2 linked regions of the Lonchura striata genome follow. The protein of the gene in region 1 interacts with the protein of each later gene in a biochemical or structural test. Links are inferred from orthologs where the notes say so. Each region holds a gene or a part of one and is shown on either strand. Other genes may lie near its edges.

Region 1 (7,782 bases):
AAACGGTTTTCTCTTTGAACTCTTGTTTTTTTCTGATCAATATCAAGTGCATCTAAAGGGAGGAGGAACAATGTCCTGAAAGAAGCAGCCTCATGGACATGATGGCAGTATAAGCTTTATGGGCAAATATTCTTCAGACATTATGTTGTTTAGATCCAAAAATAGAAATCTGATAAGAAAATAGAAAAAAACCTACTGCCAAGCCAGTGAGAACCCATTTTGGAAAAGAGGCTGTTAGGATTACTTAAATACCTGAAACAGGTATGGAGAAAAACACAATACTTTCTTTTAAAAGAGCAATCAATTTAAAAAGTGTTAAACTGAAAACAGAGGATACCTTTCAAACAATTTTTATTTGGCTAATCACGTCTAATCATCTGAACTTGCTACTCAGATGCCATTGGAGAGTTGTATTGTTTTTATTTAGTCTCTGCCTCTTCTTTATCTCTTTTTCTTATCAATTTTTCCTCCTCTTTCTTCCTACTCATTCTCACTACCTTCCCATTCTCCTGCCCACCCTGACAGCTTGTTCATCTTGAGGAGGAACAAATTTATCACTACAATGTTCCCAAAAAGCACTTTTACTGTTCAAAGTCAACACCACATATCAACTTGTATGTTAGAACAGAACTAGTACTTCTTAGAGATACTTCCAGTGCAACATGACCTACAAAGACAAAAAAAACCAAAACTTGCTCTTTCAGGATTGGGAATAAAAAGATCTTGTAAACTGATAAAGATTTCATTCCCAACAGCAATTTTAAATGATGTTCAATCTTGAAAGTATATAAAGAGTAGAGACATTCACCTAACACGTAATATACCTCTTGGCAGGTTTTTACATAAGAAAAAGCTTCAGCCTGTCGTGAAAATATTTTCCAAACAGAGGATGGCATAGAGGGTTTGGAAAGTCTTGGTCTATAAACTGTAGGAAGAGGATTTCTTTCATAGTGAGATGCTAGTTCTTCCACCTTCTTCAGTCTTTCTTGCCATTTTCTCTTCATTTCTTCTAAAGCAATTACAGATAGTCAAATCAGTATCAATCTGTTTGCAAGGCAATTTTAATTTCAATCTATCCTGTACTCCTCACTGCTTTTGATTCTGATTTTGTTGAATGTAATTTATTAATTAACTGGGAGTAGCCAATGTTCCAAATCAACACCTAACCTTGCTATGATACTCATTTTAATATTAAATGTCTCTACACTGTTTTGGGAGTACAAAAGCTTCATATTAACACTTATCAAAGATAAACACAACAGAATAAAGACAGTGAAAGAAGGCCTAGGAATTTTCATTTTGGTCTACAGAATGGTATTACACTCCTCAGAAAGTATACAAACTGTTGACTAGGCACATAACGTTAGTAAGGAGTAAAATAATACTAAAAGTAAAAAAATATTTTTCCTTTGTGGTTGAGGAGACAAATGAGATCATTTCTACGGGTAGTATAATATTTGAGTTCATAGGAGGAGTTAAGACTTCAGTGACTTTAGCTCTGAGCTCTGTATCTTAAAGTATAAGAAACGAAATCCAAAATGAGAGTTCCATTCTCCATGCTGGCCTTTGCTATTGATCACTCATACTTTCACCTGCTTTAAAAGCTCATGTACTTTTCACAACCTTACAGCAGCAATCTTATCTCTTTTCAAGAAATAGAGCCATGCAGTAACTCTTGCTATCTTGCAACCTTTAAGTTTCCAGTCCCATAAAGTAATCCAAATGATGCAGAGTAATGTAGTAAAGCATAAACACATTTATGTACAACTATCTGTAAGTGGAACACCAGGAAATCAGTAAAAAGCACTGCCAGGAAACTGTGAAACAGAGGAAGAGAGGCAAGAAGTAACAAACACAAAGGGGAATCTTCTTGTTCTGCCCAGCATAACCACTTCATTCTTCTAACAGCTCCTGGGCTGCAGTGAAAGATAAAAATGAAACTGAGTGTACTCAAAGGTATTCAAACCTTTAACAAGCTGGATCCACAAGGCAAATTTAAGTATTTAAATATTCTTGTGGAGCCCTGAAGCCCAAATTTTAGATCCTCTCATTTCCCCCTCCAGGTTTTCCATAGCAAATCTTCCTGGAACAGTTACATTTCTGCCCACTGTTGAAGCCTGCCAATGTCTTGATAGTCAGTGCCTGAATGAAGTCTAAGTAACAGAATGTTTTTTCTGTAACAGGGGTCAAACATATTACCTCTATCCCCCTTGTCCATCTTCTGACCTGTGCATTTTCTTCACTCCTTTTCTATGCTCTTAGTTTCTTCTCTGGGAATTAAAAGTTAGATTATAGATAGCAATCAGCATTTCTCAGAAGTGCTAACAAAACTTTCAGTTTCATTTTGGCGCTGCTGGCTGTAAATTAACTAGGTGCAAAAGAAATCCCTACATCAGCATTTTCCCACAAGGTGACCATTAAAAAATGAAAGCAAAGGAGAAGCCCCATAATTCTTTATTAATTTTAAACTTTCTAGTTACATTAGGCCGTATTTTTGCAGAAACACAGCTGGGAGGACCTGAACCTGGGAGAAGAGTGATGACCCTTACTTTCAACTGAAACTATCATGGTTCTTGCAGTCCAAACACTCGATATCTCAAGAGTCCAACATGTCAAGTCTTTTCAAGGCAATTTCAATTCCTGTGTGAGCTATAACACAACACATCTACTTAGAGCACATACAGTTAACACAGATCAGCCTTCTGAGTTCACTGGGAAATTCTCACTTCATCTTCCTCTCTTATGTCCCACCAGAAGTAAGGGCAGTACTTATTTTTGTTTGACTTGACTGAAAGAAATCTTGTCACAAACATGTTTGGACTTCAGTGTTATTGACTCAGCAGGATGACTGCATGAAGAGCCTGGAAAAAATGTCTCCTGAGCAATGATTTAAAGAACTTGCTGTTTAATTTTCTCTATTTTATGGAAGACTATTCTCCCTTTACTTCTTATAACAGCAAAACGTATTACACACACCTGCAGCTCAGACATGCAAATCAACTGCTACTCAAAATAACATTACACTTGTTTCCTGGCTGGTGTGTACCATGCAACATAGTTCTATGGCAGAGTTCATGGTCCTTGACAAAAATAAATCCATGAGATTTTCTCCCAGCTACTGATTCAGCCTTAGAAGAACACATTAAATTCCTTAACATTAGTGAAAATTAGCTATCCTTACATTCATCTGATGAATGTCACATTAACAAACGCTACTCATCTTCCCAATAACAAATGTTCATCTTGCCCTCCTAATAGAGGAAGTTGCCTCTACATTTACAGAATCACAGGATGGCTCAGGTTGGAAGGGACTACAATGGGTCATCTGGTCCAACTTCCCTGCTCAAGCGGGGTCATCCTAGAGCACATGGCACAGGATTGTGTCCAGTCAGTTCCTGAGTATTTCCAGTGGGGAAGACTCCACAACTCCTCTGGACAACCTGTTCCTCAAATTAAGATTGCAAGTGCAAAACTCAGTAGATCAGACCTGGTGATAAGACCTGAAAAAGTAGGTTAGTACCTGTTATCAGAAGCTGGAATACATAGCTTCCAATGTTATCTGACTTCTGATACTGAAGGTCAGTGTACAGATATGAAACTAACTGACCTGAAAGTTGATGAAGCCAAAATCAGGCCTCAGCGTCAGAGCGCTGTTGTTCTGCGAGGCAGGTCTGTGGGCAGCCAGGGACAGCCACCACGCAGGTGGGTGAAAACCCTGTCCAAGGGAAGGTACTGCCATGGTACAAGCCAGCTCATCCATGGGGATCTCGCTCACTGAGGTCAAGAGGGGGGGCTGCTCATTTAGTTATTGTCCCCACAGATTGCTCTAGATGGCCATTTCCTTTACAAACCACCATTCTGTCAGAATCACAGAACAGTCTGAGTTGCCACCGCCAACAGTCACACCATGTACCTGAGAATGTTGTCGAAATGCTCCTTGAACTCTGTCACACTTGGTGCTGTGACCAGTTCCCTGGGAGCCTGTTCCATTGCCCAACCACCCTATGGGTGATGTACCTTTTCCTATTATCCCACCTCAACCTCCCTTCACACATCTTCAGGCTGTTCCCTCGGGTCCTGTCACTGGTCACCACAGAGAAGGATCAGTGCCTGCTCACAAGGATGCTGAAGACCACAATGAGGTCTCCCCGTAGCCTCCCCTTCTCCAGGCTGAACAGACTAAGTGACCTCAGCTGCTCCTCCTATGGTTTCCCAACGAGGAAATGCCCTTCACCATCCTCAGGGTGCCCAGAACTGCACACAGCATTTAATATGAGGCCGCACCAACATGGTGTAATATACTAGAACGCTACATTTGTTTCAGCAGGCAGAGGAACTCAAGCAACAGCGCATCGTTCACACCCAAGAGCAGCAAGGACAGCCGTACCCGGCTCAGCGCTCCGAGCGCGGTGGCTCCGCCACAGGGCCCGGCCCCGCGAGCTCTGCCAGCAGAGCAGAGCAGAGCAGCCACCCCGTGCCTCCCCAGCGCGGCCTCGCACGTCTCCCTCCCGCCGGCAGAGCCCGCAGAGCCCGCCGAGCTGAGCCCGCCGGGCCCGCGCCGCTCCCCCGGCCCGACTCACGGCCCGCGCCGCCGCCGCCGCCGGTGCGCGCCGCCCGCCCAGCGCGGGGCGGGGCCAGCGCGGCGCCGGCGGGCCGGGCGGCGGCGGCGGGGCTTTCTGTGCTCGGGGCAGCGCTCGGCTGAGCGGCGCTCGGGAAAACGCGGCTCAGAGCGCAGCGAGCAGCCGGTGAGTGAAGCCGGTGAGGGGCATTGGTGCCGGGAAGCGGCGGTGCCGGGATGCGGGCGCGGCGGCGGAGCCGAACAAAGCCGTGGGGGTGGGGGTGGACCAAGCTGTGGCTCTCCAGGGCCGCGTGGCCGCCAGCATTTGTCCCGGAGGAAGTCGGCAGCGGGGAGCAGGAGGGGAGCCGCGTTTGGCCGGGGCGGGCCGGGCTGAGCGCGCCGTTCCCCCGTCTGCCCGCCGGGCTCCCGGCCCCGCAGGCCCGGCGCTCGGGCGGTGCTGGGGCGGGTGAGCCCCGGCCTGGCCCTCGGGCCAGGCGGGAGAGAGCGCCCGCGGCTCCATCCCAGCGCCCGCGGCTCCATCCCAGCGCCCGCCGTGCCATCCCAGCGCCCGCGGCGCCATCCCAGCGCCCGCGGCTCCATCCCAGCGCCCGCGGCTCCATCCCAGCGCCCGCGGTGCCCATCCCAGCGCCCGCGGTGCCCATCCCAGCGCCCGCGGTGCCCATCCCAGCGCCCGCGGCTCCATCCCAGCGCCCGCCGTGCCCATCCCAGCGCCCGCCGTGCCCATCCCAGCGCCCGCCGTGCCCATCCCAGCGCCCGCGGCTCCATCTCAGCCCCCGCCGCTTCCCCTGCCCGGGGGCAGAGCCCGGGCCTCCGGTGTTAGCTTTCCAGAAGCTTAAGGTAGCGAGTTTGTTCCCTTTCAGCCTGTCTTTGTGGGGACGCTGTAGAAACAGAGGGCAAAGAGAAGGGGAAAAAAAAGGCGCTGTAATTCTGAGCTGCTCTCTGGTGACCACTCGGTGGACCATTAACCGGAAACACGGGGTCAGAAGCTGTATTTGGATCTTCCGAAACAAAGCGTGTTAAACCTCGTCTGTACTGACGAAAAGCATGCCTGGGGTCCTGGCAGGCACTGTGGCTAACTTTTGGTAGCAGGCAACACGCCCTGACGTGTGTTGTGTCCTGCCTGTTCCCTGCTGGGCTGAAGGATAGGGCTGGCCATCTATCGTCTGTCTGTCTTTTACTCTGTAACTCAGAGCTCTCTCCTTCAGGTATCTGCTTGCCAGGGGGTAGGTTTCAAACTAGCACACCGTGCCCTTCATGTTAAGGAGCTGATATGGCTGTTGCTTATAGCAGTGTGATTATATATATATATAGATGTGATTAATAGCTACAGGTAAATTAATAACTCCAAGGTCCCTTCTACACTTGGAGTAATTTCAGCTGATTTTACAGCTTCATGCTGAGTACCTAAAAGTCTGTTTGTTGTGGAAGATCAGAATGCTGGCCCAGTGTCAGGACTTTCCAGCAACTACATCCAGACCAGAAGCAATGGGAAAAGCTGTCTCAGTATGGGCCTGCTTCCATCTTTGGTAGCAGTATTTAGCAGGGGGATAGTGTCTCACAGAAAATGTAATGCTGTATTTCAGATGTTTTTTGTTTTTTCATATAGTCTGCTTCTGTATCTTCCTTCTCTTATTAGTCAGATAATTATTGTTTAGCATTATACATTGTAGAGGGGAAGATTTTTAATTTGCATGTCTGCATTAGTATCATGATATGTCATGTATATGTTTGTCTACAAAAAATACCTTCTTTAAATGCTTGACATTTTCTCTTGCATTCATGTGATGTAGAAAACTGCCCTTTTCCTATCTTTAAGAAGATGTTTTACATTGCTGATGTCTGTTTTGAGCATGTTTTAGCAGTGCTATACTCATTGCTTTGTAGCAACAGATATATTCTGAACATGTGTTGTTTCCTGTGGTTTGCATATTTCAGGATCCAGTTGGTAACTAAAGACAGTTTAGTTATTTGCTTTCTCCCATCTCGGAAGCTTTGGTATTTTTATCACTATATATTTTTATCACATTTCTGTTGTTCTCATTTCAAAGAAATATTGCTTTAAAAAGAAAAAACTGATGGTTTTTATGGCCACCATAAGTAACCATGTGGTAACACATGATGATGTGAATTAATTTTCTTTAGGTCCAGGTGGAATAAGTAAATCCAGGCTGCAATGGAGTAAAAAGTTGTTTTATTTATTGTTTTCCTGTCAAAAGAAAAGTATTGGAATAACTACATTTATGTAGGGGAAAAAATCTTTTTGCTCTTATTGCTGTACAGAGATGAATTGGTCATTTCTTGGTAGCTTGCAGAACATAGCTTTGAACCTTTTTGAGACACTTTATTTCTTATTACCTAGTATATGTAAAGATCATTGTAGCATCACCTTTATGTTTGCTGTCTCTGTATCATGTTTTTTTTTAATTGTATTTTTTTTCAGACTCACTATTATAAAATAAGCTTCCTAAAATCTACAGAATATATTTTGCTAGATTATAAAAATGCTATTGCTCTTTTTAATAACTTGTTTATATTTCCTTACACTTGAAACCTCGTTTTACCTAAGCTTTCAGAGAAAATATCAAAGAGCAGCATAAAAATTTGTAATAAATTTTTAAAGCACTGCAATGATTTCTTCCCCCCACACCTCCCCTCACCAGGATGAGATCATCCTCCACAGGGAAATGCATGGCATCACTGCATTACCTAAAGCAAGATGAGGCAATTCTTACTGGCCTGTTAGAATCAGCAGCATCCTCCAGAGAGCATTGCTGTGACCCTGCTTCAGAGCACAAAATGCCCTGCTGATTCAGGCACGCATTTGAGTGCCTAGGGTGTCTTTTGTTCTTTAAAGAAGTGCAGGTGACCTGGTGCCTGAGGGTGCTCAGGAACTGATGGATATTAAAAGTGAGTTATGGATTCTGTTCTGAAGAGAAACTATGCACATTTCAAATACTTAACGTGTTATAACCAGTTTTTCTAGATAATCCCTATAGCTTCTGTAAAGTCTCTGAGACAAGCTCCAGTTGTGATGGAGTGCAGGAAGCTCTAACACTTCACTGAACAACTGTAACTGTAGACTCTGAACTAGGCTTGCAGAGTAAGAAGTATTTTTATGATACAAGTTGTGATTTAAATTTTTCAGAAAGAAACTAATATAATTGATTGGAATTGTAGGTTTTGCTAGCTACTTCTTCCAGTTT
Region 2 (8,127 bases), on another chromosome or scaffold:
GGTTTTCAAAAGGTACAGAGCCCAGAATAGAGCTGATGTGACTCATAGTGCAAACAAACAGCTGGAAAAAGTGAACAATACTCAAATCTTCTGGGCCTTCTAACTTGCTCAAGTGGTTTTGTAGGAATTTTAATTTAACAAATGCAAAAAACCTACTTGCCAGTTGCATAGCTAATGCTGGACTTCATGTCCTGGACTCTTGATCTGAGTTAGGCAGCTTGATTTTTTTTTTGGATTTGTGGCTTTTCTGTTAAGATGTAGCTGCAGGGAATGCCATTAATTGTGCTGCTCCTCATGCTGAGAGCTGAAATAGTTTATGGAGTCACCATGGCTGGGGAGGAGGAGGCTCTCCCATGCCAGTTTTTTCTTATTCCAAATAATCTTTGTTTACTGGCTGCTTCAAGGGATGGAAGGAAAGGGGCAGGGTTTAGTTTTATGTATATATGAGTTTAGGGCTGTCTGGAGACTGAAAACTCAGCTAATCCATCACTTTAGATATTTTTCAATGCTGTCCCCTTGGTTACAAAGCTGCAGTCCTGCCAGAGTTATTTTCAATGGTTTACTGAAGAATTACTGATATTCTATACTGGTTTGGCAGGGAAGCTGAAGGAATAAACAAATATTTCCATTTTCAGGGTGTGCTGTCATCACTGTGGATCCTGTGCTGAACTTTCTTTGTGTTCAGCAGCATCACGTCCTGAGTTTTGGATTGTCAGAACTCAAGTGGTTCTGTGCTGCTCACCCTCACAAGCTTTGTAAATCCATCAGAGTTTTTATGGGGCAGCAGCAGATCACAGAGTAAAGAAATGGCTGCATGGGCAGTCAGACAGTGTAGATTGTGTCCAAAGTGCACAAAGGGCTGAACCTGAAGCAAGGAGATAACTTGATTGGGTTTTTGTTCCTGTGATCTCTTCAGCATCGCTGTTATAGACCTGGGGAACGCAGCCCTTGCTCTGGGCTGTTACTGTGGCAAGCACAACCTGTAGATTTCCTCAGACTGATCATGCCAGGGAGATTATACCCCTTTGCCTCTTGCAAAACAAGGATTTAGGGTTTTCCTGTTGTTGCAGCAGCAATACAGCAGTAATTTACCTCTTCTGGCTCTTGGTACAGGCAGCCTGGAATGCTGTGAGATAAGGGAGGCTTTCTTTTTTGAGAACATATATTGTTGTTTATTTGGAGCAGTTCATATTCTCCAGGCAATGTTTGGCAAATAAATAAAAGGAAAGAGAGAGTTAGTTGGGTGGAAATGCAAATGTTTGCCCCCAAGGTACAATAAGGATTGGTATATGAGGGGCATTTTTGCAGCATGACTGTAGTGTGGATACAGACTCTACTCAGATTTACTGTTCTCATGTTTAAGAAACTCAGTCTGTATTTGCAAGTTATTTTGATGTTCTGCAAGTGTCATCCATTAAAATCAAAAATACAGCCTTTGCCATGTAGAAAGGCAGGAATTGATCCAGCAGTGAGCAGCAGGTGGTTTGGATGCTCTGTGGTGAAATGTTGTGTTGGCTGCAGCCCTTCCTGTGTGGGTTTTGTTTATGCAGCAGATTTAGACAAATTATCTGAACCCATCACGAGTCGACGCCGGAGCTGCAAATGAGCACAACCACATGGGGATGTGGGCTACCCTTGTTTCTGTCTCATTTAATTCAGCCAAGCTTTCCTGAGCAGCCCTGTGCAGGTAAGTCCTGACTATATTTGTGGGTATATTCAGGCATGAATTGCCACAAATTATTACAAATATGAATTGCCACAAACTATTACAACTGGGCCTCACAAAAAATGTGCTCATTTTTCTCTTGTTAGTAGCCAGTTGCCAAATGAAATAAAGATTTTTTTTCTTTCTTTCCCTGCTGTGAGTATTGGGTGATATTATCTTGTAGAAAGTGAGTTTAGCAACATCATTAAGCTTTAGATGGTGGTAGGCGTGAAGATGTGAGAGTGGATTTGACGTGGAGGAACCACACATTAAATATTATTATTAATTATGGATTTTGCAGTGTGGTGAGGCAGAGTAAGAGATTCCAGGCTCAGTGTCTGCAGGTTTTTCCTGAAGGGAACAGGAGATTCCTCTCAGCATGGCTGTGCTGGGCAGTGCAGAACTGGGCAGCTCCTTGGCAGAAATTCAGAGGAGAGTGAAGACAAACAGCCAAAGTGCTGCTGGTGTCAGGGTGGGAGGGCAGAGGAGACTGTCACAGCTGAGAGGGAGGCACGGCCACAGGGATGAGTGAGCAGAGCAGAGATGAAGAATTTAGGGAGGGAGGCAAAGAGAGCTGTGTGTTACAAGCTGCAGGCTGGAAGTAGGAAAGGTGCTTTGGGTACCAGGAGCCAGGAGCTGAGTCCCGGGTGGGAGGCGGTGGGAGCTGCAGCAGCGCTCAGGGCTTGCCCAGAGGATGCACAGCACGCCCGGGATTGCCCTGGGGCCTCTCTGCCTTTCCTGGCCTTCCCCCGGAGCAAACAGCCTCCAGCCTCGGGAGATCACTGCTGCTTCCCTGGAGCAGCAGCTCCAGGCTGCCCGTGGTCTGTGGGCCCCACACGGACTTTGTCAGTGTGAGCTTTTCCTGTTGGGTGCCCAGCAGTAAATCCCTGGGATTGTTCCTGCAGGCCTGACTCCCTCCCAGGGCATTCCTGGGCTGGCCTGTCCTGCTGGTGTGACCGCACATCTGGAGACCATAATGAGCTTGTTGTCTTCCAGTGGTTGCTCAAATCGTTGGACTATTTTTCCCCAAGTTCTTGTTTTCATCACTATGAAGCCAAGTGTCATTTAGCCGATCCATCTGCACTGAAATCCTGTATTTCAAGCACTTTCCTTGTTTTCCTTAAACAACTTTCCTTTGCATAAGAGGTTGGCTGTGCATAGCACCATTTCTGGGACCAAGCTGGACACTTTTATTAACAGCAGCTTTGAAAAGTGCCTGCTTTCCATGTCTCCATCCGGACACCCTTTTCAGTAGAGCCCTGGCGATCTCAGCTGGCAAGTGCCCTTAGAACAATGTCCAGGGTAAACATTTCTGGGGCTTGATTTAACAATGCAACACTTGCTGCCAGCAGTGATAACCCAAACCAGCTGCTGGGGTAGATTTACACCTATTCCCTTCAGGAATGGCTCAGATTAATTAATTTTATGAAAGAAATATGCAATTTATGCACTGTAGCCCTCTCTCAGTTTTTTGCCTCTATTTATATATTGCAGTTAATTGGCAATGCAAGCTTGGGCTTACAAAATGCCAAATTAATTAGGAGACTAAATAAATGTTTTTTCAAAGATATTGTGCCTGCATATATCTGTGAATTACAATATCCTACAGTGGGATGTTAATGAAGGAGATTATCCTGGGTCTTTGTGCCTTCAGTCTGTGAGGTTTGCCCAGATGTGGGACTATACAGGTATTTAATTTAGAAATAAAAAGTCCAGAGTATTTTTCCATTTGGAAAGGACCTATCTCTTTCTAATGTTATGCAACACAGTCATTTTGGTTTGGGTTTGCTGCAGCTGCCAAAGCCTTTCACAGCTGCCTTTCTTAGAGTCAAGGTTCCAACATGTTTTTCAGTGAGACTTAGACCTCTGACACTCTGAACTTCCTTCACAGAGATCAGAAATACCAACAGGACTAGCACATTGTTTTTATTGTCCGTTTCAGTTTGAGACTTTCCAGTGAGATTTTCAAAGGTACATTGCCAAGGTGACAGTTCAAATTAAAATGCATCAGCTTGCACAAGAGAGCAACAGAGTGCTCTTGGGAGAGAGGGAAAGAAAATACCCTCATGGAGAGTGGAGAAAGCACAAAGCAGGGTCTGCTCTTTCCTTCCTGGAAGTTTTATTGTGGAGTTTTATGGGTGGAGGGTTTGGCCCCTTATTTAAGAATCTTTTGAGAGATTCTGACCGTGGAAAGCTCAGCCTGTCAGGAATTGTCCCCTGGGTGTGTTCAGAGCCCAGTGGCAGGACTCCACATTGTGTGGCTGCTCAGTTCCTGAGGGCCACAGGGAAAGGCTCCTGCTCACTTCACTCGCTGCAAACACTTGGAGAACGTGATAGTTGAACTTGCTGCAGTGTGAGGTATTGGAAGAGTAATCTCTTTATTGGTGGCAGATTGTTGGGGTGCTACAATCAGCCCTGTTGTAATTCCTTTGGGCTGAGTAGGTTTGATGGCTCTTGTGTTCCTGTCACAGGGTGTTGCTACACCCTCAGAAATACTTGGTTGTGAAATTATTGAATTGCTGAATGAGCTTTTGTTCTGTCACCTACAGGACTCTGAATGCTCTGTTGTGCTCCGGGAGCTGAAATCCATCAGTGCCTCCCCAAATCCTCCCGAATTGTTCCTGCCGGTGCGGTGTGCGGGGCTCATTCAGCCCTCCTTCACGGGCTGAACCCCGCTCCTCTGGCAGCTTCAGGGAGCTGAGGGTGCATCCCCCATCCTCAGGCTGCTCAGCTCCATCCTTGTCTTCCCCAAAGTCTTTCCCTGCCAGCTGGAGCCGCCGTGCTGCTCCTCTGCGTCTCATCAACTCCCCAGCTCTCAGCTGACAAAATGCTGCCTGTGTTGCTGATGTCTCTGAGTTTCTGCCCGTGAGGGGCCGTTTGGCCCGTGTGACCCTGGCTGTGCTGTCGGTCATGGATCGCACTTCGTGCGAGCGAGCGCCTGCCGGGCTCCGGGAGAGGCTCGGCGGTTCCAGCAGCATTGTTTGCACGAACGCGTTCCGCCCCTGTGCTGCCGAGGGGGTGGGTGTGTTTGTCCCCGATAAAAGATTGGCTTCTGCCCCTCATCTGCCCCAGCAGCCAGAGGAGCCGGGAGCTGGGACTCCCCGCAGCTCGGCAGGAGCAGGGAGAAGCCCTTTGCTCCTAGAAATGGGCAGGAAGGACTTGAGTTACCTTTTCCTCACCATTTTCTGCACAGTGGCTCTGAAGCTGAGCTCTGTCAGCTCCATGTCTGTGGCAGGGCTCGGATATGTTGTTACAGCAGCTCTTGTGCTTTCGGCTGTGGTAAGTGATGGACATCACAATTAAACGCTGAAAAACTTCTGCTTCCAGCTACTTACAGGAATCCATCTCCTTCAACTCTTTGTCAGCGTTTGCCCAGTTTTAGTGGGAATTTGGGAGGATTCAGGCAGGCTGGAATCATGGTGATAAAGTTAATTCTTTTCCATCTTTGATATCTGATTTCAGCTTAGGAATCACTTTGATACCTAACTTACTATTTTGCTTTCTAGCTTGTAACATTCTTTATTTCTGCCTTGAAAACTGAGCATATTTTACTTTTGTCCATCAGCTGCTGTGAACCATCTTCTTTGTCAAAGTACTGAATGCTTCTAATGTAGTATTGTAATGTTTTCTTCCCTGTTACCTGATAGCTCTCAAAGGCATGATGTGATCAATGGACAGTCTTCATTGCCAATACACCAGAAATGTTGTATTTCCTTCCAGAATTAACAAAGTGAATTATTTTATAAGAAAGTGTTCATTATGTTTGTTCGAAAATAAAAAAAGGATATTGCACTGTGTTGATATATTGCATAAGTATGGCAATAAACATATTAAACCAAAATTGCAGTGTCCTTAGGGCAGGATGTTGTGTAAATTAATGTAATTCCTACAAGGGAGGAGTTAAAATAACAGGTCAGAACAGAAGAGCTTTAAGAAACCTCTTAATTACCTAAATATTCAGTGATATTCACAGCATTTTCAATTTGGTTTTCTAAATATTTTTGCAAATTTTTCCAAAATTTTTCTTTCCCACAGCCTGGAATGTCAAGCTTCACTTATGTGCCATACTAAAAAGTTATAAATTAGTAAGAAAAATACAGAGATTAAAATGCAGAGAGAGAGGACAAGAGTCTCGAAGAGGATAAGCCAGTAATAAACCAAGAAGTAGAGATGATTGGAAGTGAAAATTGACAGTGATCAATGGAGAGGGATTCTTTCCACACACATCCTTATTTTTTCCCCCCTTTAAAACTCAGTGCATGAGAAAAAAAGGAAACTTTCCACTTTTTGGCTGGCACAGCAAGTTAGGAGATGAGAAGCAATTTAATTTAAAGACTTCCTTGTGTCCTGCCCACTGAACAGCACCCTCTGTCTCACCCCCAGCCTGTCAGCATGGTGGAACACGCCGAGTTTTTGAAGGCTGGGAAGGAACCCGGCCTTCAGATCTGGAGGGTCGAGAAATTTGATTTGGTGCCAGTGCCAAAAAACCTGTATGGAGACTTCTTCACTGGAGATTCCTACCTGGTGCTGAACACCATCAAGCAGCGCAGCGGGAACCTCCAGTATGACCTGCACTTCTGGTTGGGTGAGTGCTGGGAGTGTCCCTGCAGAGCTGGGACCCAGAGTGACCCCTGAGCCTCTGCTCCACCATGGCCAGGAAACGTTACCCAAGGAAATAAAAAGCAGCACAGTGAGAATGCACTGCTGGGGGTAAATAGCCCTACTCGTGTCAAATATTTGTGTGGTCTCTGCAATAGAGAGTACAGCCACCTCTGATCCTAAAACCAGCTTTTCCTGGCAATAGGACAGGCAAGTCCCTGTTCTGCAGAGGTTCACAGGGAAGGCAAGATCTCAGGTGAAGTCTGGTTCAAATCCTTTTTGCCTGAAAGGAGGGAGGTCAGGTGTGTTCCTCCTGATGAGTGGGATTTTTGCCTCTCCTAAGTGCCCTCTGCTGTCATGTCACAGAGCCTGCAAACCCCAGGCTCTTTGACAATATCACAGTTAAATCTGCTTTCTCCTCCTGTGTTTGCACAGTAGAATGCAGAGGCAGAGCCTGCATCCCCTCCCAGTGTCCCTTTCCATGTTTCAGGTGATGAAAGCTCTCAGGATGAGCGTGGGGCTGCTGCCATCTTCACTGTGCAGATGGATGAGCACCTGCAGGGGAAGGCTGTGCAGCACCGCGAGGTGCAGGGCCACGAGTCCCCCACCTTCCTGGGCTACTTCAAATCTGGCATCAAATACAAGGTGGGTGATAACTGACCCAAGTTTGCAAGAAATGGCATCCTGCCCAATTCCCAGGAGAGTGAGATTTGCCCTTTTTCCAGTTGCTTAAAACCCATTCTCAGCCAGATGTTTTCAATGAGTTGGAACTCAACAGGGTGGAGAACAGCAGATCCCAGTGGGAGAAATTTGGCTGAATTAATAATACACAAGGAAAGCCCCAGAAAGTTTTAGGAATCAAGGTTTTGTTTTTCTTCAAGAGGCAGAGGAAAGAACAGTCCCAAGGCACCTGGAATGAATTTAAGAAGCAGCAAAGTTAATGGGAAACGCCTACCCAGGAGATTTGATTTCTCCCCACTTGCATAACAGTTTGACCTTGCAGTCTCTGTGCTTAGCCCACCCTGCCAGCATGTGCAATGTTTTGGTAAAGGAGATGAACAGTAGTGGGAGTTACTCCTCCCTGCCATCACAATCAAGTGGGATAGAAGTGAAAACATGCAGTCAAGCAGTTGTGTCTGTTAAGAATCCAAAGGCACAAGGAAAGTGATATCAGGTCACATGCTTGCAAAGTGCTCACACTTCCTCATGACTGAGACTTTCCTGATCTTTCTGTTTTGTTTATTTCCCACTCGCTTGTTGTTACTTTTATTCATTTAAAGTTGGTTGTGCTTTTTTTGAGCATAACTGACATGGGTCCTGTTGCCTGCATCGATAAATAATTCCCAGTGTCTATCAGCAGAGAAAGTGAATCCTGAGCTTGGGATAATTTCTGGTAGGCAGGACAAGTTATACACAGGGGAATACACTCTTCCCCCCAGTCCTGGTATGAATCCTTGCTGCTGTGTTTCCCCCCAGGCTGGTGGTGTGGCTTCTGGCTTCAGGCACGTGGTTCCCAACGAGGTCACTGTGCAGAGGCTGCTGCAGGTCAAAGGCAGGCGAACAGTCCGGGCCACGGAGGTCCCTGTGAGCTGGGACAGCTTCAACACTGGGGACTGTTTCATCCTGGACCTGGGCAGTGTGAGTACCACATCAAAGGCAGGTGTGGCAGAATTCAAGGGGCAGGAGGTGTCTGACCTTCACATACGTTTTATTTTCCCCCACTCTGCTGAAGCCATCTCAGTGCTGAGCATCCTGAAACACTGACATAGTCCAGTCCCAGCTGAGTCCTGTCTCACCTAGAGAGGTGCTGTCATGCTCTGACA

The links.
Region 2: of the proteins of CASP3 (region 1) and GSN, one has a biochemical effect on the other in vitro, tested with the Homo sapiens proteins (2 studies listed by BioGRID). The link is inferred for Lonchura striata from reciprocal best matches to the Homo sapiens genes CASP3 and GSN.

The regions. Positions count from the first base shown.
Region 1 is NC_134606.1:31,973,473-31,981,254, forward strand, and holds the start of CASP3 (caspase-3), read left to right. Parts: upstream 1-4,633; 5' UTR 4,634-4,745; intron 4,746-7,782. Other genes in the region: PRIMPOL (DNA-directed primase/polymerase protein), read right to left, coding at 825-1,009, 2,200-2,218. UniProt on the Homo sapiens protein: Thiol protease that acts as a major effector caspase involved in the execution phase of apoptosis. Following cleavage and activation by initiator caspases (CASP8, CASP9 and/or CASP10), mediates execution of apoptosis by catalyzing cleavage of many proteins.
Region 2 is NC_134624.1:9,498,432-9,506,558, forward strand, and holds the start of GSN (gelsolin), read left to right. Parts: upstream 1-4,785; 5' UTR 4,786-4,849; coding exon 4,850-4,984; intron 4,985-6,088; coding exon 6,089-6,290; intron 6,291-6,794; coding exon 6,795-6,949; intron 6,950-7,780; coding exon 7,781-7,942; intron 7,943-8,127. UniProt on the Homo sapiens protein: Calcium-regulated, actin-modulating protein that binds to the plus (or barbed) ends of actin monomers or filaments, preventing monomer exchange (end-blocking or capping).